Linked DNA regions of Cricetulus griseus. The protein of the gene in region 1 binds, or shares a complex with, the protein of each later gene. Links are inferred from orthologs where the notes say so. Each region holds a gene or a part of one and is shown in the gene's direction. Other genes may lie near its edges.

Region 1 (6,893 bases):
TGCTATAGTGTCACGTGTTTACTACATGCAAAATATGCATTAAATAAGATCAGAGTAATATTCGTTGTCTCTTATTTCAGACATTTTCTTTGCATTGAGAATATTCAAAGCTTGTCTGTTAACTATTTTGAAGTGTCTGGCTAATTATTTCCAACCATAGTTTTCCTAGGTTACTGCAGAACATTAGTAACCAGGGCTTCATAGATGGCTCAGTAGCTAAACCATATGCTATGCAAGTATGAGAACCTAAGTTTTGATTCTCAGAACCTAAATAAATGCTGTGTGGGCACGGTGGCACACTCCTAATTCCAGAGTAGGAGACAGGCTCTCCGGGGCAAGCTGACTAACGGACTAGACATTATCAGTGAGGTCTAGGCTTGATTCAGAGATCTTGTCTCAAAGGATAAGATGAAAGGGAAATTGGGGATAATTGCCAATATCAGCAGTAGGCTTCCATGTGCACAGGCCTGCACTTGCACATTCACCCATACACATGACACAGAAAGACAGAAAAGGAATTCTTTGTCCTGCAGGTTTGGGTGGTACATTCCTGTAATCCCAGGACTCTGAAGGCTTTGGGCAGTAAATATGAGGCCAGCCTGGATTATGTAGTGAAACTCTGTCTCCAAACAAAAGGGAAAGAAAGTAAGTTACTTCTGTTCAACTACACCTTTGTGCCCATTAACCTTTTAGCTTCCACATAAGTAGCTGATATGTTTTACTTCACATAATTTCATCCAGTTCTATTCATGTTTCTGCAAAGTGGCAGAATTTTAATCTTTTTAAGGATAAATATTACATTGTATACATACACTACATTTTCTTTTTCTGTTCCACAATGGTCACCTACATACAAATAGTGCTATAATAAGTGGGCAAATACAGGTGTCTCTTCAGCATACTGATTTTACTTCCCTGGATGTATGCCCTAGCTCCTGTGTTAGCTGTCTGTCTGTTTGTTTTTGAGATTGTGTATCACAGGCTGGCCTAAAACTTGTTATGGAGCTGAGAATGAGCTTGAAATTCTAATCCTCTTGCTTCCACCTCCTAAGTTCTGAGATCGTTGGTGTACTGCCACACCCAGTTTATGTAGTGTTAAGGTTAAACCCAGGGCTAGGTGAGTACTCTGCTACATTAGCAACATCTCCATCATTGTCTAATTGGTTTTGAAACTTATTTGTGTGTGTGTGTGTGTGTGTGTGTGTGTGTGTGTGTGTGTGTGTGTGTGTGTGTGTAGACCTATGATTGTGTGCATGTGAGTGTAGGTGCCCAAGGAGACCAGAGGCATTAGATCCCCAGAAGCTGAAGTTACAGGTGATGTAAGCAGTCTGATGTGGATATCGATGCTGGGAACCGAACTCGGGACCTCTGGAAGAGCAGTAAGTGCTCTTAACTGCTGAACCACCTCTCCAAACTCAGCTCTTGTCTAGTTTTTGAAGAGGCTCAATTTAGGGGCTGGAAAGATGGCCCAGTGTATTGTGGAGGCAGAAGCTGGCTGGATCAGCCAGCTCGTAGTTCAGCTGAAAGATTCTGCCACAACAAAGTAGAGAATGATAGAGAAAGATATCCATGCACATGCATGCATACCAAGCACACACATCTACACAAAACCAAGAAGAGCTTCCATTTTGTGTTCCATAATGGCAGTGCTAGTTTACATTCCTGTTTGTAGGTCCTTTTTTCATATCCTCAGCAGCATTTGTTGGTTTTTGTCTTTCAAATAATAGCTATCCTGATAGGTGTGAGGTGATACTTCATTGTGGCTTTTATTTGTATTCTGGTGTTTAATGTGGTAGTTGGCCGATTATACATCCCCCTTTGAGAAATATCTGGATATGTATTCATTGCTACATCAGAATCTTTCATTTTTGCTGTTATTTGAGTTTTAGCCATTTGTTTATTTTGCATTTCACAAACATACTGAGGACAGAATGGCAATGTGGAAGATTCTGGAGAACCAGCTTGTCTTGTAGCTAGGGTGACCACATGTTCTTCTATCTGCTTTGCCTATGGTGACCATGATTCATGCCTGTTATCCTTATGCAATTATTAGTAGCATCATTTAGCACTTTACCATGTTGGAGGACAAACTGTCTTGCCACTCTTCCCATAATGCAGCTGATTCCTCTTGGTATGTTATTTGGCCTAAACATGACATCGTTGTAATTTGGCAACTGTAATGAGTGTTAAATTCTCTTCCATTTAAACAGGCTATTTCTTGACCAACAGAAGTTGATGGCAAAAGTAACTTCAATTAATATCTGTGACTTTTAGAATGTTTAAGTCATTATAATATTTTGTTTAATATTTTTATTAGTTCTTTGAGAATTTTATGCATGGCATTTTGATCACAGTCACCTACCTCCCCAACTCCTCCCAGATCTACCACCTGACTTTGTCCTTTTGTTTAAATGCAGCAAGTTTAATTTGTGCTTCCTATATACCCTTGGGCATGGCCTCCACCAGACCACTTTTTTTTTTTGCTAAGCAAGAAAGTAAAAATATATTTAAAATTAATCCATGAGCATTCTAAACATTCATTTTTAAGTAGTAAAAATTGAACTTTGATGCCTTGAATATGAAATGATTCATTATAACTATTATGCATAGTCTTTAATAATCTGCATGTTTTATGCTGCATTCATGTTTTTCCTAATTAAAGGCTTCATGTGTTTAATATTTATAATTTTTCTGTGTCATACTTTCCATATTTCTATAAAATGAGTACTTAAGATTCGTAATTCTGCTGTTTGTTTACATATTGTTTTCCATCAAAAGAGAAAGTGGGACTGAGATTGAGGCTCATTTTCGGCACTTGCCGAAAATGCCAAAGACCCTGAGGTGGATATCCAGGACTACAATAAATAAGAGAAACAGGCTGGTTTATAGTTCTGTGTTGGAGCATGTGTCTGGCATTGTGTGAAGCCTTAACACTGAAAGAGAAAAAAAACAAAAGCACCAGATTTTAAAACTCAAGTAGTAATGTAAGGCTCTAGTGTTTAGAATTAAATGTGTCTTAGTGATTGTACCACTGTTTTTATGTTATCAGTGGATAATTTGTTAGTGCTTAGTATCAGAAATATGTTACTTTTGTTATGTGTTTTGGATTTCCTAATGCAATGTTCTCTTTTTAGAAAAGGTGGACAAGTCCTATTTTCAAGAGAAGATGACTTTTAACAGTTTTGAAGGATCTAGAACTTGTGTACCTGCAGACACCAATAAGGATGAAGAATTTGTAGAAGAGTTTAATAGATTAAAAACATTTGCTAACTTTCCAAGTAGTAGTCCTGTTTCAGCATCAACCTTGGCACGAGCAGGGTTTCTTTATACTGGTGAAGGAGATACTGTGCAGTGCTTTAGTTGTCACGCGGCAGTGGATAGATGGCAGTACGGAGACTCAGCTGTTGGAAGACACAGGCAAATATCCCCAAATTGCAGATTTATCAATGGTTTTTATTTTGAAAACAGTGCCACACAGGCTACAAATCCTGGTATCCAAAATGGCCAGTACAAAGCTGAAAACTATGTGGGAAACAGAAATCATTTTGCTCTTGACAGGCCATCTGAGACTCATGCAGATTATCTTTTGAGAACTGGACAGGTTGTAGATATTTCAGATACCATATACCCGAGGAACCCTGCCATGTGTAGTGAAGAAGCCAGGCTGAAGTCCTTTCAGAACTGGCCAGACTATGCCCACTTAACCCCCAGAGAGTTGGCCAGTGCTGGACTGTACTACACAGGGATTGATGATCAAGTGCAGTGCTTTTGCTGTGGTGGGAAACTGAAAAATTGGGAACCCTGTGATCGTGCCTGGTCAGAACACAGGAGACACTTTCCCAATTGCTTCTTTGTTTTGGGCCGGAATGTTAATGTTCGGAGTGAATCTGGTGTGAGTTCTGATAGGAATTTCCCCAATTCGGCAAATTCTCCAAGAAATCCAGCCATGGCAGAATATGAAGCACGGATCATTACTTTTGGAACATGGATATACTCAGTTAACAAGGAGCAGCTTGCAAGAGCTGGATTTTATGCTTTAGGTAAACTTAACCAGTAAATTACTTTCCATCTGTCATAGGGCTCCTAAAAAGAAAATCATTGCCTTTAGTCTTCTGAACTAATAAATATTTAGGCATAAGTTTTCAGGATTGCTTATCATTAGTATCATTCTCTGAACTCATATGTTAAATCTTCATTGTCATTACTGAATTTATGCTTAAAAGGCCATGCTATTATGAGTCAGATCTGTATTCATACAGTTGTTTGAGGGTTGAGTTGAGAGAAGAAAAAAGATGGTATTGATTCCTGATAAATAATGGGTCTAATAGTAATAATAGCTGCCATTTAACGAGCATCTACTCTGTATGCTCAGCATACTTATTACATGGATTGTCTGTAAGCTTCACCACAACCCTATAAACAGAGTTAACAGAGAATTTAGGTTGGTTCATGGTAAACTGACATCAAGCTAAGCATGGTGCCACATACCTGTAATTGCAGCAGTCCATAGGCTGAGGTAGGAATGAGTTTGAGGGCAGTTTGGGCTACGTCATGATACCCTCGAAAAGAACCAAAGAAAAAGTAACATCTTTAACATACGCTACATATTTGAAAGCTGCCCTGTATTATGCCTTATTGCATCAGAGTATTTTTGAAACAGTCACAGTATGTGACTTAAAAGCCAGTAATATGGTTGCTTCTAGGAATATTTTATATCTGCATGCCTGGTCCACTTATTTTAAGATTGAATAGTGCTAAATTCAAAATACAAATTATTTCAAATTTTTTTCATTTATATAACATAGTAATCTTGAAGGTCTTTTTCATGTCAGAGAGCTCTATCCTTAAAGACACTTACTTTGTAGTATCTGCTGAATTTTATTATAGTTAACATTTGGAATATAACTTGTACAGATTTCAGTTTGATGAAGTAAGTGTGATAGTAATGACCCAAATGACATGCACTAGAAAGAATGTAACAATTGTAGTTTTTAACATAAAATCTTTGATTTTACTTTTGTTGTCTTCTACAAAGCACCCCATATCGGGATGGTAAATTTAGTGTGTATTTCCTGTCAAATGATAAAGATCGTATCTAGATGGAATATGAATGTTTTCCTTTAAGCCATGAGATTGTATGTAACTTAGACACCTCTTAAATGTTAGAATGGGCATTTTTTGATGCACAGATACACATAGTTTTACGTGCATGTTTCCTTAGGTGAAGGTGATAAGGTGAAGTGCTTTCACTGTGGAGGAGGGCTCACAGATTGGAAGCCAAGTGAAGACCCTTGGGAACAGCATGCGAAGTGGTACCCAGGGTAAGATTCTTAATTGTTCATTCAGGAATAGGCAAGTTGGACATTGTGCAGGAGAAAGATTTGAATTACTTTTCACCTCAACTATTTTTGCCTTCACTATGGCTTGTAATTCACACCAAGTTTATAGAAATGGGGTCACCTACTTCGTAGGCCAAAAAAAAAAAAACCCACCTAAGACTTCTGGTAACCAAAACATTCACTGTTCATATATTATATGAGGGTTCCATTTATAAACACCAAATTACAAAAATGTGTACTTTTTATTTAGTATACTATACAAAAATATATCCTTTTTATTCAGAAGTAGACTCTTTGGCGAGTGACCTGAGCCCATGGTACCATGGGAAGTCCTGAAGAGCTGGCATAATGTATATTATTATTTGTGTTTTGTTTGCTTTTAGTTTGAAACAGTTTCTCACATTAACTCGGTTGGCCTGGAGTTCACAATGTCTTCCAGGCTGGCCTCCATCGTGAAACTCTCTTGTCTCTGTAAAATAAAGTACTCAGCTATATAAGTTGTATGAGTTTCTAATATATAAAATAATACAACTTAAAATTTTAGAAGAACCATTTGAAAAGACTCTTCCTTAAGCAACCCAAGTGTTCCGTATTGGTTTAAAAAAGAACCCATTTCCTATGGAAAGAACCTTTGTCAGCCTAGATACAGAAGGGGAGGGCCTTGGTCCTGCCTCAAGTGAGGCCTCGCCCTCTGGAGGAGTGGATTGGGCGAGGGATGGGGAGATGGTTGGGGCAATGAGAGGGAACTGGGATTGGTATGTAAAATAAGATTGTTTTAAATGGCCGGGCGGTGGTGGCAAATGCCTTTAATCCCAGCACTCAGGAGGCAGAAGAAGGTGGATCTCTGAGTTTGAGGCCAGCCTGGTCTATGGATCGTCAGGGCTACACAGAGAAACCCTATCTCAATTCCCTCCCCCCCCAAAAAAAAGATCAGTGTGAAAATACTAATTTAATAGCTTTTTTTTTTTTTGCCTGTTAGCAGTTTTGGATTTTCTTGTGTTTATTATAGTCTTGTTATATGTAGCCTAAACTGGCCATAACTTCCTATGTAGACCAGGCTGGACCTAAAACTTGTGGCAATATTCCAGCTTCTGCGTCTTGAGTATTATAGAGGTGTGGTATCATGCCTGCCTTTTTGTTTGTTTCTTCTTTGAGACAGGGACTCTTGGAGCTGGCTCTAGCAAGAATTCACTATGTAGCCAATGGTGGTTCTAAACTTCTGATATTCTTGGCTTAACCCCCTAAGTGCATATATTTCAGATATTTACCCCCATACCTGTCTAATGACTTTTTTGGCTAGTTTTCCTTTCTTTTGGGGGACAGGTTCTGTCTATGTAGTCCAGGCTAGCCTGGTTTTCATGTAGCCTTCCTATTCAGCCTCCCAAGTGCTGGGATTACAGGCATATACCACCAAAATTGGCTAATTTAGTAACTCTTGCTTGAAAATTGATATTGATAGGGTGGAAAATAGGAGCATTATTTTAGCCTTGAAATGAAAGCTTTATAAGGAATTTTGTAGCAGTTTGCTTTGTGGCTCCCCAGAAACAGTGACGC
Region 2 (6,233 bases), on another chromosome or scaffold:
ATTGTTTAATATGTCAGTAAAACTTTATAACTTTTTCAAAGTATATTATGTGTGTGAGTGTTTTGCCTGTGTGTATGTATGTGTACCACATGCAGGTCCTATGCCTGCCGTGTGGGTTCTTGCTTTCTGGACCTTTGAGATAGCCTTCCAGTGGGTGTTTGTGTCTTTAATCTTATGCTGTCTCAGTCTGGGCTTCAGATGCACATGCAAGGTGTTTTGGGGAGCCTCAGGGCGCACTGGCCACTGTTTGTTTACCTTAGCCAGGTCCTTTTGTCCATCCTCCCTAAATGCAGGATATAGTATAATTGGGCTCTCATACAAGACTGAGTTCCTTGGCTGCCAGATGGGGCTTTACCAAGTTTCATGCATATGAACATGAAGACATGACTGACTAGCAGCCCATCCCCAGTGGCCATGGGTCATATAGTCATGAGTTATGCACTATGAGTGCTTCCATTGTGCTGTTTTCCCACCACTGTGTCTTGCTTGCTAGTAAGTCCTACATCAAAAAAGAAAGGGGAAGAGAAGGAAATGAAAATACAGGTGCGCCGGGCATTGGTGGCGCACACCTTTAATCCCAGCACTCAGGAAGCATGGATCTCTGTGAGATTGAGACCAGCCTGGTCTACAAGAGCTAGTTCCAGGACAGCCTCCAAAGCCATAGAGAAACCCTGTCTTGAAAAACCAAAAAAAAAAAAAAAAAAAAAAAAGAAAGAAAGAAAAGAAAATACAGGTGCTTAGGGGTCACCTCTAGGATCCTTACAAAATTAAGAGTTGGGATGTTTGCCTGGCAGTGGTGGCACAGGTCTTTAACCAGCACTCTGGAGGCAGAGGCAGGCCTGGTCTACAGGACAAGTTCCAGGACAGTCAGGGCTACACAGAGAAACCCTGTATTGTATAGGCTAAGACTTGGACTCTGTGTCTGTGTGTGTGTGTGTGTAAATCTCTGCAGTGATTGTGCAAAACATCCCAGTTTGAGATCTGGTGGGATAGGATGAAAGCCAGTTGTAGGCATGAGATATGGAACCATGAGTATGAGTGTGACCGCCGAGTCAGCGATCCCAGAAGACTTGCCAGACACGGAAAAGGGTGTACACAGGCCTTCAAGCTGCAGCTATTGAAGATGTGTTGGGGGAGATGGCAAGGGACACAGGTGGAGGCTTCCATACTAGGAAGAATGGCAGACTGACTTGCAGGTTGGAGTTTCTGAAGGCCAGGTCCCAGCTACCTTCCTGAGAGCATGTGTGGGAAGCTATTGATAACACAGCTGCACGGGTCAAGCATTGTGGTGGTGCTGGTGCCCGTGGGGCATGTGTTCTGTAGTTGGATTCCTTTGTGCTGCACAATCAGAACTTTGTGGGAGGAGTGTGACCAGAGTTTCCTCTAAGTTGGACTTACTGTGTGTTACACTAGTATTTCCTGCTTGGTAGTACAGCTTGCTGTCTTTGAAAAGCCATGCTGAGCTTTCCACTTGGGAATGCTACAGTTTTAGGATTTCCATGGGAACCAGTTTGTGGATACATTACAAAAACAGGACACTTTGTGTTTCCCAGACATAACCATCTTGTGGGACTTTGGGGACCTCCTTTGTCTTTGTTGGAGAAGCAGGTGCAGTGGGATCTGGGGAAGATGGTAGGCTTTCGCAGTTTCCTGATGTTTTTTGTTTGTTTGTTTGTTTGTTTTTTCAGGAGCAGCAGCCAAGCTGGACAGATGACCTTCCACTCTGTCATCTCTCTGGAGTTGGTTCAGCTTCTAACCGTAGCTATTCTGCTGATGGTAAGGGCACCGAGAGCCACCCTCCTGAGGACAACTGGCTCAAGTTCAGGTATGTGTGGCATGGCTGTACTGGACAGAGAAAGTCAGTTTATGAGCAAGGAAAGATGCTGTCTTGCCACTACTGTGTATGAGGCTTGCCTGTGAAGTGGGGCCTGTGGGAAATGACCACTGCTGTGGTCCTTTCTGTGTCTAATTCAGCCAACGGCCTGCTGTGGGATAGGGATGGAGTAGGCTAAGAGGGAGGATTCAACAAGCAGGTCATTTTCATAGTGAATTGATGGCCGCCATGAGGGGACCCAGATGAGTACCTGAAGCCTTTTCTGCCTTTAGCCCCTCCCCAGTTCCTTTCTTTCTTCCCCATCACCTGTATGCCCCTGGCCTCAGCCCTCTTCCTGCCCTCCCTCTGCTAGAAGTGAAAACAACTGCTTCCTGTATGGGGTCTTCAATGGCTATGATGGCAACCGGGTGACCAACTTTGTGGCCCAGAGACTCTCTGCAGAGCTCCTGCTGGGCCAGCTCAACACTGAACACACTGAGGCTGATGTGCGGCGGGTCCTGCTGCAGGTGAGGTTGGGCTGGCTGCCAGTGGCCTGTCTGACTGTGTGTCCTCTCCTCCCTGGAACTTCAGCCCTGCAGCTCTAAGTGTGGACAAGGTGATCTGAAGATTGCCTGCTTCTTCATCTCCCACCAAGGATCAGTTCTGGGTACAGCTCGTGGTAGCAGGGGTTCCTTTTCCCAAGGAGTCCAGGGCAGATGGGAGCAGCAGTTCTTTGATTGGAAGAAGGGCTGACCTGGGAGAAGGCATCCCAGGAATGGAAAATGGAGGCCTGTGGGGACACGGTCCTTAACAGTGACCCCTTTGCTTGGGATGTAGTTAGGTGCTCATCTCCAGTCCTGCATGATCTGCAACTTTGCCTACTCCTATTCTGGCCTGCACCTCACTGACCAGGCCTGTGTTTCTTCTGTTGCTGTGCTGGGGTTTCCATCTACCCAGAAAGGCTTCTTGGTCTTTGAGAAATTGCCCCAGCCTTTTCCTGTTCTCTGTGGCCTCAGGGCTCCTAGACTGGAGCATTGCAAAGGCTATACCAGGGAAAGCTTTCTGCTTCACCTGTGTCCAGCAGGTCCTGACCAAGGCCTCTTCAGAAGAGGTCATCATGCTACTGCAGACTCCCATTGACCAAGCACTCCTCTGAGCCCAGTGCTGTGGGTAGATTCTCTCACTTGACATGAACCCAAATGTGCAGCACTGGAGTTTACACCTCACCAGTCTTAAGCACAGGGCCTGGCTCTTGCTTCTGCCTCTCTGATTCCTTTGTAGGCTACCTAAGTAGCACCCTTCTCCCATCCCACAGCTACAGGTCCTTGTCAAACAATGGACAGGAAGACCCACATATGAGGCAAAAATGATGTGTCACTCACCCGTCACATGAGACCTGCCATGAATACCATGGATCTGTTACGCTCCATAGGGACATCTTAGCAGGAGGTGATGGTATTGTTTGAGCCAGCCCTTGCCTTGCCCTGTGTCCCTTCAGGCCTTCGATGTGGTAGAGAGGAGCTTCCTGGAGTCCATTGATGATGCCTTGGCTGAGAAAGCAAGCCTCCAGTCCCAGCTACCAGAGGTAATGGCCTATCTGTACTGCTGGGTGCCAGCATTAATCCTCCATGTCTCTTGCTACCTATGGTCATAGCAAGGCCTGCAGCAGAATCATGAGGCAGCGTCCTGATGGGGAGACTGGGGTGACAGTAGGTGTATCCCTATGGGAATTCTTGGCCAGCAGTGGGCAGCTTTTCTCTGATGTTCATCCTTGGATGGCAGCAGTAGGTGGAAGGAAAGGTTCTGTGATCTGGTTCAGTCCAGAGCCAGGGTCACCTTCAGGCTGCCCTTGGTTAAAGTACCAGTGGCCTTCCTGGGCATCCTATAGGTATCCAGCCTGGCTGTGTCTTTGCTGGCTCATCTGTCTGCTCTATCTCAAGGGAAGGAGAGAATGGGTAAGATGGTCCTCAAGCACCTGCTGACCTCTCTTGATGGTGGCTTGCAGGGTGTGCCCCAACACCAGTTGCCACCTCAGTATCAGAAGATCCTTGAGAGACTCAAGGCACTGGAAAGGGAGATTTCGGGAGGGGCCATGGCCGTTGTGGCAGTCCTTCTCAACAACAAGCTCTACGTCGCCAATGTTGGTGAGCCACCCACCCACCCCACACCAATCTGCTTTCTGTACATACATACCCTGAACTTCTCAGGGCTGCTGGGCCTGTTTCCCCCTCACTCTGTTGTATGTGTCAATCCTGATGGAAGGCGAACAGATGAGACAGGGATAGGTGTCCTGGCTTTTGATGAATTGCATCCATTTTATTTTTGTTTTTAATTTATGTGTATGAGTGTTTTATCTACATGCATGTCTGTGTACCACATGTGTGCCTGGTGCTTGTGGAGGCTAGAAGTGGGCATCTGATTGAACTGGAGTTAAAGATGGTTGTGAGCCACCATATGAGTACCTGGGAATAGATTTTGGAAGAGCATCCAATGCTCTTAACTGCTGAGCCATCTCTGGGTGGGAGGGGGGAGTGGGTGTCTCTGCAAACACCAGGGCTAGCAGAGTAATGATCCAATCCCTGTGAGGCAAGGAGGAAATCCAGTTCAACATGATTCAGTAGCTATTTTTGGTTCAAACTTCTAGAACAGTGTTTCTCAATCTGGGGTCAACCTTTCATAGGGGTTGCCTAAGACCATTGGAAAACATAGATATTTACATTATGTTTTATAACAGTAGCAAAGTCAGTTATGAAGTAGCAAGGAGAATAATTTTGTGTTGGGGGTCACCACAACGTGAGGAAACAGTCGCAGCATGGGAAGGTCGAGAACCACTGCACTAGAGTCTGACCCCAGGCAGTTTAGGTTTTGGTTTTTGGTATTTCGAGACAGAGTTTCTCTGTGTAGCTTTGGAGCCTATCCTGGCACTCGCTCTGGAGACCAGGCTGGCCTCAAACTCACAGAGATCCACCTGCCTCTGCCTCCCGAGTGCTGGGATTAAAGGCGTGTGCCACCAGTGCCTGGCCCCAGGCAGTTTATTTTAGGCATATTTAAGTACAGTACAGTTTGGAAAAAAAGTTTCCAAGTACAACACAATCCTGTGTGCACAGTAAGGCATAATTACATCAAAACTCTTTTCTTTTTTTGAGATAGGATCTATCCTGATTGTCCTGGGATTCACTATATAGACCAGGCTGGTCTTGAACTTACAGAGATCAGCCTGCCTCTGCCTCCCAAGTGCAGGGATTAAAGGTGTGCGCCACCATGCCCAGTGAAACTCTTTCCCAAGTACATGTCAGTTCTTCCATGAAGATGTGTTCTACAGATAGGCTACATGTATTAAGGCCCTAGGGGAGGATCTGGTGGGATCTTGGGCATACAGATAGCACAGAGGTCACCTAGGCTATTAACCATCTCAGATCCTATTTGTGGGAGCCTGGCGGGGGGCACATGTAGCCTACCCCTACACATAGCACAGAGGTCATCGAATGGCTGTGAACTACCTCCATTCCCAGCCTGGGCAGAAAACAGGTTATATATCTCTCCCTTTGAAGAGACAACCCTGCATGTCCAACATTCCTGGTTTCCCTACCACTTATCTGTGAGTGCAAGAACCTCTGTGCTCCCAACATCTCAGCCCCATGGCTTCTTTTGAAAGAAGTTATGTGAAGGCCTGCTTTACACTCAAAAAACAGCAGGAAACTGGGTGATAGGGACATTTAGATTTAAGGAAGGGCCATCAAGGGACCCAAGAACCTGTGCAGGATGCATGTCACTGTAAGGGCTGTCTTTCTATTGCTTATGAAGATATACCATGACTACAGTAACTCTTATAAAGGAAACACTTTTAATTGGGTTGGCAGCTTTCAGTTCAGAGGTTTAGTCCATTATCGTTTTGGCAGGGAGCATGGCAGCATGCAGGGAGACATGGTGCTGGCTACATCTTGATCAGAAGGCAACAGGATGTGAACTGTCTCACTGGGTGGTATCTTGAGCATATTTGAGACCTCAAAGCCCACACCCACAGTGACACACTTCCTCCAACAAGGCCATACCTACTCCAATAAAACTACACCTCCTATTAGTGCCATTGCCTTTGGGAACCATTTTCTATAAAACTATCACAAGAGTTTATGGTGTCCCTGACTCTCTTCCTCCTTTTCTTCAGATTTCCTTAGGGATCAACTTGCAAAATGTAAAACAGGTGATAAATGTTAGTTAGTGAGCCACCTTGCCCCATTCCAGCCCTAACAGTTTCTGTCTGTGGCCAGTCTTGTTTCATTCAGAGCCCCTTATTCCAAATTGTTTGAAAGCAACCACAGACACTAAGCCATGATAATCTGAAGACTTGTCCTGTGATCACACTGTAGCATGCAGCCTGCTTCCATACTGACTCAGCTGTCCTTGCCTGGCGATTCACCCC
Region 3 (6,233 bases), on another chromosome or scaffold:
CCTTGTAAAGATGGAGGATGGAGTCATGTTCAGGTACTGGAAAGAGAAAGAATTTGCAGTTGGAGATACTGAGCTCATCTGCAGCTGGACCACAGGAGTAGTGGGGAGGAGAGAGAACACGCCTTTCAGAGATGCCGAGACACCGCCCTGGAGAAGAGTCCAGGGAAACTCCAGACACCAGCCTCAAAGGCACATGAATCAAGTGCCAGCTGGGTTTTCACCGATTCTGTGGCTCTGCTGTCTTTGGGGAGAGCTATATAAGGACTATATACTCAGCACGTTACATGGCAAGTGTCATTATAGGTGTGGGGGCGTTCGGTAATTTTTCAGATCAGATGAAACTCTCGTCTCCCTGAAGCTCACTTTGGAGAGGAGACCAGCAAGACTCCATCTCTTGAGTCCCGTTTGGTCCTCTTCCTCTTCTTAGGTCCCGTTTGGTCCTCTGCCCATTCCATGACGTCCATGCTGCACCACACTGGTTTTGCCCAATAGAACCATAGTTGTTGGGGGAGGGGAACAATTCTTTTAAAAACAATTCTTTAAAAAATTGTTCCCCCCTCCCCATTTGTGTAATCGCTGGTCAAATATTCATCCAGACAGAAAGGTGTCTACATAGGTGAACTTTAGTTAACATATGTGTATAACCGCCACCAGTCCATACAAAAAAGAACATATGGGAATGTAAGAGATGACTCCGTGGGCAAAGAGCTTGCTGTGCAAACCTACAGACCTGAGTTCCCCTGCGTCCATGTAAAAGTTAGACATGGCGGCGAGTGTCTGCAACCCAAGCTGGGGGTTGAGACTGGTGGATCCAGGTGGCTCACTGGCCAGCCAGTCCAGCTGAAACAGCCAGCTCCGTGCTCATGGAGAGACTCCGTTGTAAAACAAAACAAAACAGTGGAAAGCAATAGAGGGAAGACATCTGACATGGGTGGCATCTCCAAGCACACACAGGTGAACACACATGTACATACACATACATGCACACATGTACATACACACATGTGAGCACACATGTACACACATACATGCACACATGTACACACACACATGAACACACATGTACATACACATACATGCACACATGTACACACACACATGAACACACATGTACATACACATACATGCACACATGTACACACACACATGTGAGCACACATGTACATACACATACATGCACACATGTACACACACACATGTGAGCACACATGTACACACACATACATGCACACATGTACATACACATACGTGAACACACATGTACACACACATACATGCACACATGTACATACACATACATGCACACATGTACATACACATACATGCACACAGGCCTGCACCGTGCCACATACCACCTTCTTGATATAAAGACATAGACTTGGGCATCCCTGAAGGCGCCTGAGGTCCTCTGCCTTCGCAATCCCTCCAGACGCCGTATGAGGCGCTTATGCCTGTGCAGCCCTCCTGTGTGCCGCCGGCTCTTTGCTGTGGTCATTTATGGTTTCCACGTGTGTGCTCCCTGCTGTCCTGGTTCATTCAGTCTCTGTTTTACTCTGCTGCACGAGTGTTCCTCACTTCATTCTCTTACTGTAAGCAGGACTGTGGCTTATTCCCTCCCTGGGGCACGTTGCACAGTGTGGCCCTATCTTCTAGTAAACCTTGGCCTGCCCCGGGGCAGTTGTTGTGCTGCAAGGTTTGTGTAACTTTGGGACACTGTGGACACCCTGATAGGTCCCCACCAGCTCCGCAAGTTCATGGCAGATGCTGAGCCGTCTGTTTTCCCACTGTGGCCACTCAGGGAGGCACACTGTGACTGTGATTTGCACTTTCTGACATCTGTTGAAATTTACCCTGGAGCTTTGTCCCATTTAAGCATGGCAGTTAAGCAGAGCTGTCTGCCCACTGTGGGTCTTCTCTTCACAAATACCGTGGCTTCCCTCAGCACACAGCTGCCCAGCGCCTCTAACTGACTTTCTGTAACCCAAGGAAAAAGAAGAAAAATGCCCCTCCGTGCCCCATCAAGACCACCCGGGACCGCGTGCCCACGCACCTGTACAGAATGGATTTTGAGAAGATGGGGAAATGTATCATTATAAACAACAAGAACTTCGACAAAGTGACAGGTGGGTGACCAAGTGACAGGTGGGTGACAAAGTGACAGGTGGGTGACAAAGTGATAGACAGGTGGGTGACAAAGTGATAGGTGGGTGACAAAGTGATAGACAAGTGGGTGACAAAGTGATAGACAGGAGAGTGCTGGGCTGAGCCCACCTCCCCCCCCCCCCCCCCGCCCGCCTCCCACTTTCTCCACATTGCACCAGACACTCATCAGAGAGCAGCTATGCCAAACCCTGCCAGGGGTATCCCATGTCCAGGAGGCAGGGGTGCAGAGAATTTTCCATCTAGGCTCTACCTCGTGCTGTAGCTAAGAGAGTGCTGAGACTCAAGGAGCCTGTCTTAGTTTCTTTCCCTATTGCTGTAATAGAATGGCTTCTTTAATTGAGTGGTTCTAGAGCATGACATTGGCAGCCAACGCTGGCCATCACAAGTCCAGTGTGGTTTCCCGTTACCATAGGGAAGTTCATCTTGTTCGGAGGCCAAGGGCCCCCCACCCCAGTCCTCTTGAGTTTTCCTCTAGTCCCCTCGTGCATTTAAGCTGTAACATCGGAAGGTGCTTTCTGCTCCCGGCACCAATGCTGCAGAGCCACCCAGCACCTGGTCTGATCAGAACCTGCCCTCTCCTTGCTTTTCCCCCACAGGTATGGACGTCCGGAACGGGACAGACAAAGATGCAGAGGCCCTCTTCAAGTGCTTCCGAAGCCTGGGTTTTGATGTGGTTGTCTACAATGACTGCTCTTGTGCGAAGATGCAAGACCTGCTTAGAAAAGGTGAGTGTGGGCTGTCCTTGTCTGTCCTACCCCTTGGGTTGAGAGTGACATGCTCTGGCTCTGTGATGTGGCCACATTGTGATCATGTGGGTAGACTTTGGGAAGGGTGAGAGAGAGGCTGGAGAGCAAATTAGGGACTAGACCAGACTTGAAGAGCTATGCCCTTTTAACATTGTGACAATGACATTGGCATCTGCAAAGTCCATGCTCATGAACCATGCAGAGTTACAAAATCAGTCCTAGAAGAATCATAATGTTTTAGGTAAGTTTCCCACTTTGCATTGAGCTTGAGCTCATAGCTGTCCTATGACACATGCTGTCCTTAAGCCATGGGTTGGATATGCATTAAGGGACGCCATTGGGCACTCCCATGTGGCGCCCGTGCCATGAGCAAGTCCAGGGTATTGGGCAAAAGCCTGGAGATTTAGTTAAAAGCAGAGACATCTGGTCGTTTGTGCTAGGTGAATGTGTGTCTGACCTCTGTTGCAGGGAGGGAGCAGCCTTATATACAGACTTACAGCACAGTGGAAAAACCCCAGGTATAAGAGCTTGTGTTTTTTATACCAGTGGGGTACTGCCAAGGCTGTTATCCAGGACTAGAAAACAGGATGCACCTGTGATTATTGGCTGACAAGCAACTCACAGAGACCCTGTGGGGGCTGGAGCCCAACATCTCTCCCAACACTCCCACACTTGGAACAAGTATCTGAAACTAGAATGCTACCTGCTCATTAGACAGGGACCTACAGACAGCAGAGGGCTCAGCTTTCCTTAACTGCATATCTGAAAAAGAAAGGTTTTGTGTAATCTTATTTTCCTTTTAATTGACTTCTTGGGATCAGAGAGAGAGCTTGGTGATCAAGAGTGTATACTACACACACACACACACACACACACACACACACACACCACACACACTGTTAAATATAAAATAAATCTTCAAAAATATGTATGATTCACCTAAAGTACCTGGATGAGTGCCAACACATAGGCAGTATCCCTGAAACTCTAAATCTCACCCCCCACCCCCCTACCCCCCACCCCCGTGGCTAATTTGGTATTAACCAGTAGGTTGTTAGTGTCATGGCCATGGATAAGTTGAAGCCAAGCCAGTCTGCTGCGTGCCCCGTGATTCCTTTCCTGATTCCTATATTGATGGCTATCTGATTTTTTTTCTATTAACTTTCTAGTTTAGCATGCAAAGTAGTGGGTTTCATATATTTGTGTGTCCTTACGCTCTGTTCTCATTCCCCACCCCCACTCAGCTCCACAGTGCCCCGCCCCTCCCCCTCCTCCTGTCTTCTTAGCCCATGCCTTCCATTGTCCCCTCCCCTTTAACGTCTCTGCTGCCCTCTCATGATCCCTTTTCTAGTTTTATAACCTACCAACACACATATCAAAGTACACACATACGTGTTTGCATACTTTTAAAACTAGGCTCCACACACCAGAGAAAACCCCGGGGTCTTTGTGTTCCAGGCTCGCTAACTTCACTTAACGCAGTGATCTCTGGTTCCATGTGTTTTCCTGTAGATGTCGTGATTTCAGTTTTCTTTACGGATGCTCAAATCCCTGCTGTACTTCTGGGCCACGCTTTCCTTACCTGCTTTCTGTTGATGAGCTAGTTCTGTTCCCCGGCCACTGTGACTGGTGCGGCAGTAGACATGGACATGCCTGTGTCTGTGGCATGCTGACTTAGAGTCCCTCGGGTATACGTTCTGTTTTCTGTTGTGTAATACAAAGTCGTTGTTTTAATCATTTTAAAGAGAGCAGTTGAGCGGAGTTAAGCAGTCACTTCTAGAATTCTTTTCATTTTCCATAACCAAAGCAACCTACATACTAACCACCCACTGTGTCCCCTCCCCTGGCCACTGACACCCTCCTTTCTATTTTGGCTTCTCACCAGAGTGAAGCCCTTTTCATGACTGGCTTATTCTGCTTGGCCTAATGTTTTCTTTAACAAATACTTTGGCTTTAAAAATAGTAACTGTAGCTGGATGTAGTGGAGCAGGCCTTTAATCCCAGAACTCAGGAAGCAGAGGCAGGCTGAGTTCAAGACCAGCCTGGTCTCCGTAGCAAGTTCCAGGCCAGCCAGAGTTACACAGTGAGACACTGTGTCCAATAAATAGGAATTTTTTAAAATTTAATTTCATTTATTTTATTTTATTATTTATTGGGGGGGGATTTCGAGACAGGGTTTCTCTGTATTGCTTTGGAGCCTGTCTTGGAACTGACTCTGTAGACCAGGCTGACTTCAAACTCACAGAGATCCTCCTGCCTCTGCCTCTTGAGTGCTGGGATTAAAGGCGTGCGCCACCAACGCCCGGCCAGTAGGAACTCTTTTATAACTACCATAACCACCTCTTTTTTTATAGACAGATGAGAAAATGGGGGTTAACTAATCTCTTTGGTGTCACAGAATCGGCCCACTGCTCCCCAGTGCCTGGGTTCTCATTGAGAGAAATCCTAGAATTCTCCCCAGCAGTTCAGTCTCTTCAGGGAAGTGGCCCAACCCGGTCCTTTGAAAAGGGGATTCCGTGCTCTTCCCAGGCCCCAAACTGTCATCTGTTTGTGGAGCCCGGTCCCTGGAGCCTTCAGTGCCAACATTGCTAACATTGCTTCCCTGCAGCCTCTGAGGAGGACCACAGCAACTCAGCCTGCTTCGCCTGCGTCCTGCTGAGCCACGGAGAAGAGAATCTGATTTATGGGAAAGATGGCGTGACGCCAATAAAGGATCTGACGGCTCATTTCAGGGGGGATCGGTGCAAAACCCTGTTAGAGAAACCCAAACTCTTCTTCATTCAGGTGCTTTACAGGGGTCAGGGGTGTAGAGCAATGATATGATGCCGGGGTGCAGGGGCAGTGTTTCTGTGGGGTGTGCAGCGTGGGGCTGGGGCTTTCTGCCTGGAAATGGTTGGCACAGGTACTCGCTTCATTTCTGGAAGGCATCGCTATGCTTCGCTTTGTAATTTGACTCCCACCGGGTGCTTATCGCTTAATCAGCTGGCCGCTGAGCTTCTGGGGTAGGGCAGGAACAGCATGATCTGTTCTGGTACCAGCCCATGTGTGACCTCTCCTTCGATACGCTTTAGGCATGCCGAGGGACGGAGCTCGATGACGGGGTCCAGGCCGACTCCGGGCCTATCAGCGAAACTGATGCTAACCCCCGGTACAAGATCCCAGTGGAAGCTGACTTTCTCTTCGCTTACTCCACAGTTCCAGGTACTCTGTCCACTGTCTGCTGGCCTTACCAATCCATGTTCCTCCCTCAGCATTCTGTTACAGTAATTAATTACAGTTTTAGCACCCCAAGTTTGACACAGTGTCAGTACCCTGCTCAAAAGT
Region 4 (5,596 bases), on another chromosome or scaffold:
GTACAAATGAAGCTAGTGATATGCATCTTGTGGGTACAGTAATGTCACCCACATAGCAGAAAACCTGATTAGCAATATTAATCTGATAATATTTGTGGATTTTTCCCCAAAAACATGTGCAAGTAGTACTGTCTTAAAATTGATTCGACATAGAATCAAATTTAGTGTCTGTGAGTAAGCTATATAAACAAAACTAAGATCACATACTTTTTTCTGTCTAAAATTATTTACTGGATATTATCATGTCAGAAAAAATGAATTTTTTTTTTAAAAATCAGTGATTATTTCCCCATGGTCTTAGAAAATATTCATACTGAACTGAGCATGGTGGCCTATGCCTGTAATCCCAGCACTCAGGGATTATTGTGAGTTCAAGACTAGGTTGGGCTACAATGTGAGACTTTGCCAATGAATGAATGAATGAGATGATGACATAGTACCCCACCATATAAAACAAATCACAATTTATCAAACAAACCTCTATTATCAGGCACCTAAAGTCCCCTCTTATTTTCACTGTTGAAGCTGTTGTGGAGGATGTCCCCGCCACGACAGCTTACAGCAGCTAATACAATGAAGTATCTTGTGTGCTAACAGATTACAGACTCTGTTGCCATAATCAAAATAATTCGAGTTTTCTTAACATGTAGAAGGAAGAGTTCATTGGTTGTGTGAAATGCTGAATAGCTCATTTAATCTCAAAGGAGTTATTCTTTTAAATGACTCCTATTAAGAGTTATTAATTAATTAATTAAGAGAAGTTCTTTCTGTCCCAAGGAATGACACCTCGCTCTGGTACTGATGTTGATGCAGCCAACCTCAGGGAGACATTCATGCGCTTGAAATATGAAGTCCGGAATAAGAATGATCTTACTTGTGGAGAAATTGTGGAATTGATGAAAAATGGTAAATAATTAAAGAAGCATCCCAAAACCGGGCAAAGGACAGAGATGAAGTGTCTGCAGAACTCAGCCAGAATTGGCATATCCATACCCCTACACACATACAAGGCTCAGGGACCATTGCAGAAGGAGGGGCAGAAAGATTTTAAGAGCCAGAGGTGGGGGAGGACCAAATGGAAGGCATGACAAGAATACTACACAGCAGCAGTTGCTGTTGCCTGATCAAGATCAAGCCTGTCAGCATTCTAACATGAAAGGGAGGGGGACTAATGAGGGGGTTCCCACATCTAGGTTGGGGAGCTGTTGATAGTCGATGGCTGCTGGAGGAGGGAGAGTCCCATTTTATTTAATAGTGTAGTCCCTGATAGGTTGACCATGCTTCAGTGGTATATGGCCAGAACAATTTGGACCCTGTGTTATTAAAAAACAAAAAGCTGCGAAGTTGGGAGGAAGGATACAGGCGAAGTTGGGGGTGTATGTGTGGGGATAAATATTATCAGATTGCATAGATGGAATTCTCAAAGAATTAATGAAAATACTATGTTAAAAAAGAATGACCGTCATTGGGTAATTTTACCCAATTTATGATCTAGCTATAATTAGACCTTTATAATTAGAGGTATAAAACTATGCCATTGCCTCCCAAGTTCTGGGATTAAAGGCATGTGCCACCACACCTGGCTGCTTATATATTTTAGTAAAAGTTAAAAAGAAAATCATGTCATCCCCTAAAATGATTCCAAATGTGCTCTGCCTATGTTAGATTTGGGTGATCTTATAGTTCTGGTCTCAGTTTCTTCATCTTGTGGTCATGGTATAAATCAGTAACCCCAGAACTCAAGAAGCTAAGACAGGAAGGAAGACTGTGAATTCAAAGCCATCTTGGTCCAATTAGAAAACTAGATACAAATCAAACAACCACAGATTCTTTGTCATATTCTCATACAGTGTCCTAATGTTTTAAACGAAACTTGCAAAGTCCTTCTGTGTCTTTGTTTTGTTTTCAATTATTTGCAAATGCCTTTCCAGTTTCTAAAGAAGATCACAGCAGAAGAAGCAGTTTCATTTGTGTGATTCTAAGCCATGGTGAAGAAGGAGTAATTTTTGGAACAGATGGGCCTGTTGACCTGAAAAAACTAACTACTTACTTCAGAGGGGACTATTGCCGAAGTCTAACTGGAAAGCCCAAACTCTTCATCATTCAGGTAGTGCTCTGAGCAGCTTGGTGCCCGATTAAAAAGAGATTAACACATTTAACAGTCTTTACTTTTTGTTTTGGGGCAACGGAACTGTTATATTTGTATTTACTTAAACCACCACTTAGAATATGTGGAGTACATTTCAATGTTGCTCTTATATCAGAACAACTTACCAATTTTTACACTACTCTTACAGCTTTTACAAATTATGTGTGTTCATATAATATTATTTTAAAAGAAAAGTTTGTTTTCTAACACACAGGCCTGCCGTGGTACGGAACTGGACTGTGGCATTGAGACAGACAGTGGAACTGATGATGACATGGCATGCCAGAAGATACCAGTGGAAGCTGACTTCCTGTATGCTTATTCCACAGCACCTGGTAAGAATGTGTCAGAGGAATGTTCTATGTGAATTGGAGATAAATTGCATTACTTTAGAGCTGGAGGTAAAGACTAGATTTTAAAGGCTATTGGGATTTTTATAAGCCCTTCACAAACATTTTTATATCCCTACAATAACTAAATGTTGTCTTAATTACTTTTCTATTGCCATGACAGAACAAGAGACTGAGGCAACTCATAAAAGAAAATGTCTAATTTGGTTATAGAAGGTTAGAGTCCATGACTATCATGACAAGAAAGGGGAGGCAGGACATGGCAGTAGATAAACAGGTGTGGTGCTGGAGCAGTAGCTGAGAGCTTACATCTCTATCTATAAACACAGCACAAGGCAGAGAGAACTAGCTAGAATGACATGGATTTCTGAAACCTCAAAAGCCCACCTGATGCCTCCTCCATCAAGACAACACCTCCTAATCCTCCCCAAATAGTTCCATGTCTGGGGACCAAATATTCAAACATATGAGCTTATGGGGGCCATTCTCATTCAAACCAACACACACACACACTCAGTATTAAATTTGTGGGTGTGGACCTATGTGTGCGTGCGTGCGTGCGTGTGATTTTAGAGGAGAAAATTGACTCTCACAAATTATCTTCCGAGTTCCACATGCAATGTGGCACATGTACAAGTATACTCACAAAATAAGTAAGTAAATAAACCTATTAAAACAAATAGATGAAATACACTCAATCTTGTTTCTTTTAGCCACTAGGTATCTCTCTAGGCAGCATACTTCTAAAGTAAACACAATGAGTCCAATAGTTAATCTGAAATTACCAAAAATGCACTATTTCCTTCTTAGGTTTTTTGAATGCTATTTATTACATTCATTCAGATGCGCCCTAGGTGAGCTAATGGCATTCTTTAAAATATAAATATATATGGCTGAGCAGACAGCCTAATAGTTAAGAGACTTGTTCTACTCATGCAGAGGATCTGGGTTTGGGTCCTCATATACGCATGGTGATTGACAGCCATCTGTAACTCAGTGGGCATCAGGCACTTGTGTGCTACACTTTACATACATGCAGGCAAAGAACTCAGACATATAAAGTAAGTCTAAAGAAACATTTAAAGTGTGTATATGTAAGCAGTTTATTTCTTGTCTAAGCCAATATTAAAATCAGATGAGCTGTGACCGAAACAGGAAGTGGTAGAAGAATTCAATGGCAGTCAGTCCATAGCTGCTTTTTTTTTTTTTCCTGCTGACAGTAGTGAGGTATGTATAATATATATTTTCCCCCTCAATATCATTTCTCCAGAGACCAAAGGTGTTATTTCTTTTTCCTTTTTATGGCTTGTTAGACCTTGGAAGTTCATATTTATTTTTATCATGGTTATGTAAAAACACATAAAATCTGCTAAATGATGGTATGAAGTAATGGTGGGCATGGTGCTTTGTATTTTGCCTTGTAGGTTATTACTCCTGGAGAAATTCAAAGGACGGGTCCTGGTTCATCCAGTCACTTTGTGCCATGCTGAAACTGTATGCACACAAGCTTGAGTTTATGCACATTCTTACTCGAGTTAACCGGAAGGTGGCGATAGAATTTGAGTCCTTCTCCCTTGACTCCACTTTTCATGCAAAGAAACAGATTCCGTGTATTGTGTCCATGCTAACAAAAGAACTGTACTTTTATCAGTAAGGAAATGATTGGAGGCTTTGTTTCTATTTGTTCTTTGTTTTGAATGCCAATGAGGAAACAGTGTCAGGGAGACTTTATTTCTCTCTCATTTAAATCAAATCTGATGTTTCAGATGAACCATACCACTGCCCTAGCAATGCAGCCGCAGTACAGCTACCTCAAGTGCAACATCAGGTAGTTGAAACAATTTAATTGGAACAAATGTCAATGATGGTACTATCATTATAGAGGAAATTACAAATTTACTTTTTATAATTAGCAAGATTTGGTGGTACTATAAATTTTTAAGTTAATTCTGAAGAAGTTAAACTTTCAGGTGTAATTTTATACTCCCTACACACATTAAAAATGCCATTCTAGGTTTTGTTAAATTACAGCAATGATGGTGTCAAATGATAATGTCTTAGAACTTGAATCCATGGGCAGAGTCAAAAGCTTGGACCTTTATTTTGGAAGTGATATATGGAAATGAAGCATTGGACCACCAGTAGCATTCATTGTTTTGTGATGTTTGTCCTAAGCATGTATTTGTTATTAAAAAAATCATGTTTCATTATTGAAAAAAAAACTTGAGTATTTATGTAAGAGGAAAACATGAGTGAAATTGGTTGACTTTTTGAAGGCTACCATACATAAGTAGTGGATATGATGGCAAGGTGCTAAATCTACCAGCATTTGTTTCTTACTTGTTCTTATACAAATCAGCTTAGTTTTACAGACCAGCAAAATATCTATAGGACAGTTACGTAACAGCCTCAAATTGTTGATTATTAGAATGAAATAAATTCTGCAGGAACATACTAAAATACCAGCTGTAAAACAGAATGTAAGGACGGGAGAAATGAATCTACTGTAATTGGAGAGGGGTGGTTTGAGCCACAGTAGATACATGGCAGAGCCATGGGCACAGCTTCAGAAAGGACTGTCACCTGGACCCACCTCATGAGTACTCGTTCGTGTGGATGATGTCCCTAAGGTCCAAGTCACCACATGAGAAAGTCAGCCAGATTGGAAACTTCTTAGAAAGGGCGTTCCCAAAGTGGTAAGTCTCTCCAGAAAGATCCCAGAACTCCATGTCCAGAATCTGTAAGCATGCTGACTTTTCTGTTGAAGTTTACAATAAAAGGAAGCCAATGGTGATATTTGTATTGTCACCAGAGATTAAAGGACCATGGCACACAGGACTTGGGGAACATCCAGTCACAGGCCCTGCAGCCCGCATGGGAAGCTGCAGGATGGAGTCCAGCCCCATTAGAGAGGTGGTGCTCCAGGCTTCCTCACTGGTGGAGGTGCTGAGCCAACGCTGGCCATCCTGATGTGTCTAGCATTTCATGGAAGCTTCCTTTTTGCTCAAAGAAAGGAAGGAACTCACATGTATAACTGGTAGATTCTTGTTTTAGACTGGATCTATTAACTCTAAGTAAATGTAGCATGTGATGGTAT
Region 5 (6,233 bases), on another chromosome or scaffold:
GTGACCTTACTGCATTTCATTCTTTTCTCTTGTTGCCTAAGATCTTAACAAGTGCATAAGCGTAGGCTTATGCAATTGACTTGGGTGTCTTATTTCCTCACTTATAAAATATGAATTATAAACACGTACGTACGTATATTTGTTGTGCTCTATCTAGTATAGATAAAGTGCCCATTGTTCTTTAAGATGACCTGAGAGGAAAATAAATTTTTGTGACGTGGCATATTATTTTAATGATTAATGAGTCATTCTCTGTAGCCAATGAGTGGGCCTAACATAGCAGACTTCCTACCTTAATGGATAGATGACTCCACTTGGTACCTTAGAGATGGGGTAACTGTTTCCTATTGAAATTTTGAGTTGGGTAATTTTGGTGATATAATCATTGAAACTGTCTTTTACATTTTTAGCTTTTTTTAATCTTTTAGTTTTATTTCCCCCCTTAGTCTTGTTGAAATCTAACCTTATAAACTGTCCAACTTGCTTTCCTGGTCAAACAACAGACTAGGAAAAACACAGACCTTAGAGTACCAGGACTACAATTTGAATCTGACTTTAATCCTGTTGCTTTGTTTGGTTGTGGTCACCAGAGGATCATTTATTTCTCCGACTCTGGGTGTCCCTGTATGTAAAGTGGAGGTAATGGAGCCAGCTTTAGAGAGGCAATTGAACAGTTAGTGTTTATAAAGTGGCTGACAGGAAGGAAGAATACATCAGACTTTTTCATGTGTGTGCGCATGTGTGTTTGTGTTCGTGTATACACACATGTTGTACGTACTGGTCCATGTGCATGATAAGGAAGCCAGGGGTCAACTTCAGGTATTGTTCCTCAGGACCACCATTTATCTCAGGGGCAGGTTAGTGTTTCAGAGTGTTTTATTGTTGTCGACTTTTTTATGTGGATTCTGAGGAATCAAACTCAGATCCTCCTGTTTGTGTAACAACCACTTCACCAGCTGTACTGTCTTCCAACCCCTTGTTTCATACTGTGGACAGGAGGAGGAAAGGGGATCTTATATATGCATGTGGCTGGAACTTCCACAGTGCACTCTCTCTGTGGATGTTTCTCAGTGTCCAGGAATCTTCGGGTTCATCCCATAAGGAAAACACAGCAACTGTCTTGTTGACCCGTATCTCTTGGGCAAATACAGAACTTGAGAAATTGAAGTTTAATTAAATGGGCCTCACAGATTGATATAACTGGTTTCCTTACTGTCAAGGTCATGGACAGAGAAGAGAGAAACTTTTCACTTTGTTTTCTTACAACTCTTTAATTTAAAACATAAAATGTATTACCTACTAAAAGAATAAATAACTTCTAACCATGATTGGGTGTGTCTCTCTGTCTCTCTGTCTCTCTCTGTCCCTCTCTGTCTCTCTGTCTCTCTGTCTCTCTCTCTCTCTCTCTCTGTCTCTCTCTCTCTCTCTTTCTCGTGTGTGTGTGTGTGTGTGTGTGTGTGTGTGTGTGTGTGTGTGTGTGTGTGTGTGTTTTAAGCAGTCTGGTCAGGAATGTCTATTGCTATTCTCATTTCAACAGACATCCAGCGCTTGGGTTTCTTAAGAGCCAACTAATCATCAGCACTTACCCAATAGGCTTCTCCTGGAAGCATTTCTATTTATGTCATTGCTACCAACACCCATGCATCTAGTGTGCTAAAAAATGATGATGGCATCACTATAATTTCTCTTCCTTTGTGTACTTTTTAAAGTTCTTCACCGCCAGTCAGTCCAAACATCTACCATTCTTTTCAGCCAGTGTTTTCTTTTTTCTTTTACTATTTTATACTTTATAGTTTCAGGCTCCCCCTGCTTTGTATCTAAATTATTACAATCTTCAAAACTGTTCCTCTTTCTATTAATTCCATGTACTATGCCAAGTTAATTATCTTCAAACTTAATTGTACTCCTTTCCCTTGCTCAGAACTTTCAGTCACAGCTGATTATCAGACTCCTTAGGAGTCTTAGGATTCTGGCATGTTTGATTTGCCATCGTTTCTTTTACATATGAAATATCCTAATTCATATTAAGCAGTCAGTTTTACTTTCACTTCTGTAATTCATTTGACCATGGATGTTGAACATCTACTGTGTTACTGGATAGGAGGCACTGTTTTAAGTCCTGGGAATGGGTATACATGTGCAAAAGAGAAGCAAGGTCTTACCTTTCACGGAGGCCTCATTCACTTTATATGGCTTCTCTGTGGTGCTGAATTCTAGTCATACTTCAGGTTGCACTGAAAGCCTGTCTTTGAAGACTGTGGTGACTTTACCTTGCTCAAAATTCTCTCTCCTCTGAATGCCCCATAGTTTACTTTTCTTTTTTCTTTATATGTGTATGTGCATATGTGTGTATGTATGCATATATATATAAAATATATGGCAATCATCACATTCTTCCTTGTATTATTTTTTTTCTGATGTGAATTATGGGCCTTTAAAGACAAGGATGCCTTTTTGTCTTTGTATGCTCTGAAATACAAAGCATATTGTATTTCATGACGGTAAGTCTGACTGTACTAAAAGTTAACCATTTATCTCTTTTACTCATGCCCAAGGCATGTGGTATACCAGGGATCAGCTGGAAATGCTTCCTTGTTCTCTGCTTTTTTCCTGAGTTTGATGTGTAACTTCTAAGCCTTATTGACTTTGATGTAGCCATCATCATCTAAGTCAGCAGTTACCAACCTTTGGGTTACAGCCCCTATAGGGGTCAAACAACCCTTTCACAGGGGTCACCTAAGAACATTGGAAAACACAGATATTTACACAGTAGCCAAAATTACAGTTATGAAGTAGTACTGAAAATTATTTTATGGTTGGGGGTCACCACCATATGAGGAACCCTGTAAAGGGTTGCAGCATTAGGAAGCTGGAGAACCATTGATCTAAGTAAATACGTCTGCAATATTTAAACGCTTTAGAATTCATGTTTGGAAAACTTTTACATGTCTATAACCGTAAAACATGTGGTTATAAAATATATTTGGTTACTCCATTTAATCTTAATGATTACTTCAAGCATCAATCATTCTAACATAGGCTAAGTTTTGGAGCTTCGTCTCACACTGTTCCTTCTCTTTCCTAGGAAAGGTATGGTAATAACCATGTGGAGCACTTCTGCCATCAGTGGAAAGTACAGTAATAACCATGTACAGAGCTTTGACCACCAGTGGTTTATAGACGTTATTTTGGCTGTTCTCTAAATAGACCAGTAGAATACATAAAGTGGGTATTATCTCTATTTTAAATATGATAAAACTAAGGGACACAGAAGATAAACTCACATGAGGCTACATAGCTAATTAATGAGAAAAAAAATTCCAAGCTTATTTAATCTGTGGGTATGGCCATTATTGTATGTTTTTCGTTATCTGAAATAATTATCCTTTTTTTTCCTTAGTGAAAGAAATGATATCTTACGAGAAGCTGAAATACTACATAAAGCTAGATTTAGTTACATTCTTCCAATTTTGGGAATTTGCAATGAGCCTGAATTTTTGGGCATAGTTACTGAATACATGCCAAATGGATCATTAAATGAACTTCTACATAGAGTAAGTACTGTTTGTTTCCAATAACTACAATTACTATTTAGTCTGCTCAACTATATATAGTATTTTGTTCTTCATTCAGTCACATTACTCTGTAGTATATAAATGAATCAAGTAAGAATATGAAGCACCATGAACTGATGAACTTTACCTTTTGTGTCTTTGTTTGTGTTGGTACAAAGTACTGTGGAGTTGGGCTTGAATTCAAAGGTCCTAGAATATTTCGCATAGGTAACTCTGACATTCATACTAAATCCCAGTATCCAATATAATATATATATAATATATATATATATATATATATATATATTATTTGTACACAGATAGGCGTGGGAAATAGATGAGTTCAATACAGTATATAATCCATGGTTAATCGATATTTAGTGACTATTTAGGATCCAAATTAACTATTATTAGTTAATGGACCAAGTAAATTATCTTCAATGACAAGAAACATGACATTTTTCTGTCTATAGAAGTTTGAACCATTACTAATTTTTTCAAGGTATAAGTTACTCTGGCTTTGTATTTGTGAATCCTATCAACAAACTTGGGATCCTCATTCTCAAAATACATGTATTCTATTTTTATTTTGGCTTGATCTTACACCCTGATTCTTTCCAGTCTGCATTTGCTTTCAGATCTTTTTAGGTCAGATGCTCCAATTTATGAAGATTTGAGCTAATTAGAACTGCATAATACCTATGAATACTTATGCCATTCCCACATTATAGTATATCACATTGCCTTTTACACAAGCAAGGGAAAGTGGGCACCACTATCAGCCACTCATGGAGTGACTTCCTCTTTGTTTCAGAATACATCGCATTCTATTCATGACTTGTGACCATCTGAAACAAAGATGGACTGAAGTAACTGGTATCAGTCTGTAAGGTTTGTGTACCTGCTCCAGCAATCAAGTTAAAAAGATTCCATAAAGCACAGTTTCTTTTTTGTTGTCTGAGAAATGAAATTGAAGCAGAAATTCTAATGTTTTATTTCCACATCGTTATAGATACTCTGGCACCCAGATTTGGAGCCCCCTGGAAATTCTGTAGCCTTCTCTAGGATTCTTCCTAACTCTTAGATGTGACCATAAAATATAGAGTGTCACTCTACCCTTGACTCCATGAGGAAAAGCCTCCATATGACACTGCCATTCAGAGGCCTCATAGTCACTTTAAATTTCATAATACTTTGAAAAATTGCCTCTTTACAGACCAACAAAAGATGCACTTGCTCCAAGGTATTGAGCTGTATGTGTTTCCCAGGAGGTAATGCTCCATGTTAGTGTCTCCTTGGTATGTTATCCTAAATAATATACCAGTTACTCACAGTGTGATTTATCTTGAAGCACTCACCACCCACATCATAAAAGATCACTGAATAAAATGAAAATGTGGTATAAACAGCCTAAAGTATTTTGAACAACCTCCTACTAATTGGTCACTGAAATTTAAGCAGACTTGATTTCAAAAAGAATCCCAAGGCAATTTTGGCGCTTCAAAAAAGGTGACTTTTATATAGTATTTTAGAAAATGAACCCATGAGTTTGAGCCATTTCAAAAGTGTCTGATTTTTCTGAGTGTATATATCCTCCTTGGAAACTGCATTAACTTTTATATTCAGAAAACATTTAAAGAAACTCAGGTGGATATGTGTTTAAGAACAAAACAATGATCTTTATTCCACAAGAAGAAATTCTCAAAGGTTAACGTTTCAAGAGGTAACGTAGAACATAATTTGTAATTAAAGTATGAGATATAGATCAGTGAGATGGGTCAGAAGTTGCAGGCACTTGCCCCCCAAGAAGACAGGCCTGATGACCTGAGTTTGACCCAAAAGCCACATAAAGGTGGAAGGAAAGAACTGGCTTCACAAAGTTGTCCTCAGATTTCCACACTCCCAACCTGCCACATGTACCCCCAACACATCTTGTATACACGCACACACACATACAGACAATAGTAACAAACGTTTTCAGGTATGAGACACTTCAAATGATATACTCTCAATTTTAATTGACTTAGAGACTACAGTGATAATTATAGTTTTAAATTAATATAAAAAGTTAAAATTTTGAATGAATGGTTTGGTTTGTCAGAAACACATTATATTTTTTTTCTGTATGTATGTGTGCTTGTGTGTATAAGTTATTTGATGAGACCATAGAAGTGATCTGTGGATTAGGGTGTAAATTAAATACATGTATCTGACTTTATGTGCATACAAGTAACTGACAGTTGTGTCTGCTAAAGAATGAGGCAGTAATACCAGGCAATTGCATGACCAGTATAAAAAGAGAAATACCACTGCTATGCTTACCATCAACATCTCTAAAGATTAAAGAAAGTAAAATATAAGAATTCCAAACAGTATCAATTGATAGTTACAAAATTGAGCTTATGTTTTATCCCAGTTTATAATCTATTTCCTCATGGATTCTTAATTTTTAACTGTTAAATTAAGGCAGTAGTAATTTTTGTTTTGTTTCTTTCACACATACAAAGAAAACTGAATATCCTGATCTTGCGTGGCCATTGAGATTCCGCATCCTGCATGAAATTGCTCTTGGTGTAAATTACCTGCACAATATGAACCCTCCTCTACTTCATCATGACTTAAAGACTCAGAACATCTTGTTGGATAATGAATTTCATGTTAAGGTAATTGCTTTGGAAA

Evidence for each region.
Region 2: the proteins of Xiap (region 1) and Tab1 are in contact, whole or in part, in a crystal structure (PDB 2POP), measured with the Homo sapiens proteins. The link is inferred for Cricetulus griseus from reciprocal best matches to the Homo sapiens genes XIAP and TAB1. Residues at the interface, in NP_001158.2 of Homo sapiens: Phe33, Ala34, Ser38, Gly39, Pro41, Ser43, Ala44, Ser45, Thr46, Arg49, Tyr75, Ser78, Ala79, Val80, Gly81, Arg84, Phe92, Ile93, Gly95, Tyr97, Leu98; in NP_006107.1 of Homo sapiens: Glu99, Ala100, Arg103, Thr201, Gln202, Leu203, Glu212, Asp213, Phe216, Arg217, Gln220, Arg241, Glu269, Glu271, Ile272, His273, Ala275, Gln276, Pro277.
Region 3: the proteins of Xiap (region 1) and Casp7 are in contact, whole or in part, in a crystal structure (PDB 1I51), measured with the Homo sapiens proteins. The link is inferred for Cricetulus griseus from reciprocal best matches to the Homo sapiens genes XIAP and CASP7. Residues at the interface, in NP_001158.2 of Homo sapiens: His136, Ala137, Leu140, Leu141, Gly144, Gln145, Val146, Val147, Asp148, Ile149, Ser150, Asp151; in NP_001218.1 of Homo sapiens: Tyr230, Trp232, Arg233, Ser234, Pro235, Gly236, Arg237, Trp240, Glu274, Ser275, Gln276, Asp279, His281, Phe282.
Region 4: the proteins of Xiap (region 1) and Casp3 are in contact, whole or in part, in a crystal structure (PDB 1I3O), measured with the Homo sapiens proteins. The link is inferred for Cricetulus griseus from reciprocal best matches to the Homo sapiens genes XIAP and CASP3. Residues at the interface, in NP_001158.2 of Homo sapiens: Ala137, Leu140, Leu141, Gly144, Gln145, Val146, Val147, Asp148, Ile149, Ser150, Asp151, Thr152, Ile153, Tyr154, Asn226, Leu231, Gly232, Arg233, Asn234; in NP_001341706.1 of Homo sapiens: Tyr204, Trp206, Arg207, Asn208, Ser209, Lys210, Asp211, Trp214, Gln217, Lys242, Thr245, Glu246, Phe247, Glu248, Ser249, Phe250, Phe252, Thr255, Phe256.
Region 5: the proteins of Xiap (region 1) and Ripk2 are in contact, whole or in part, in a cryo-EM structure (PDB 8AZA), measured with the Homo sapiens proteins. The link is inferred for Cricetulus griseus from reciprocal best matches to the Homo sapiens genes XIAP and RIPK2. Residues at the interface, in NP_001158.2 of Homo sapiens: Lys208, Asn209, Trp210, Glu211, Pro212, Cys213; in NP_003812.1 of Homo sapiens: His136, Asn137, Met138, Thr139, Pro141, Ile208, Asp278, Glu279, Arg280, Ser282, Lys285.

The regions. Positions count from the first base shown.
Region 1 is NC_048604.1:25,909,683-25,916,575, reverse strand, and holds the start of Xiap (baculoviral IAP repeat-containing protein 4), read left to right. Parts: upstream 1-3,138; 5' UTR 3,139-3,166; coding exon 3,167-4,040; intron 4,041-5,221; coding exon 5,222-5,321; intron 5,322-6,893.
Region 2 is NC_048595.1:377,304,547-377,310,779, forward strand, and holds part of Tab1 (TGF-beta-activated kinase 1 and MAP3K7-binding protein 1), read left to right. Parts: intron 1-1,688; coding exon 1,689-1,825; intron 1,826-2,186; coding exon 2,187-2,340; intron 2,341-3,311; coding exon 3,312-3,398; intron 3,399-3,818; coding exon 3,819-3,957; intron 3,958-6,233. UniProt on the Homo sapiens protein: Key adapter protein that plays an essential role in JNK and NF-kappa-B activation and proinflammatory cytokines production in response to stimulation with TLRs and cytokines.
Region 3 is NC_048596.1:5,008,659-5,014,891, reverse strand, and holds part of Casp7 (caspase-7), read left to right. Parts: intron 1-1,986; coding exon 1,987-2,123; intron 2,124-2,759; coding exon 2,760-2,888; intron 2,889-5,517; coding exon 5,518-5,693; intron 5,694-5,980; coding exon 5,981-6,110; intron 6,111-6,233. UniProt on the Homo sapiens protein: Thiol protease involved in different programmed cell death processes, such as apoptosis, pyroptosis or granzyme-mediated programmed cell death, by proteolytically cleaving target proteins.
Region 4 is NW_023276807.1:40,009,656-40,015,251, reverse strand, and holds the end of Casp3 (caspase-3), read left to right. Parts: intron 1-777; coding exon 778-906; intron 907-1,931; coding exon 1,932-2,107; intron 2,108-2,363; coding exon 2,364-2,484; intron 2,485-3,923; coding exon 3,924-4,153; downstream 4,154-5,596. UniProt on the Homo sapiens protein: Thiol protease that acts as a major effector caspase involved in the execution phase of apoptosis. Following cleavage and activation by initiator caspases (CASP8, CASP9 and/or CASP10), mediates execution of apoptosis by catalyzing cleavage of many proteins.
Region 5 is NC_048595.1:130,012,592-130,018,824, reverse strand, and holds part of Ripk2 (receptor-interacting serine/threonine-protein kinase 2), read left to right. Parts: intron 1-3,400; coding exon 3,401-3,554; intron 3,555-4,368; exon of another isoform or gene 4,369-4,445; intron 4,446-6,061; coding exon 6,062-6,217; intron 6,218-6,233.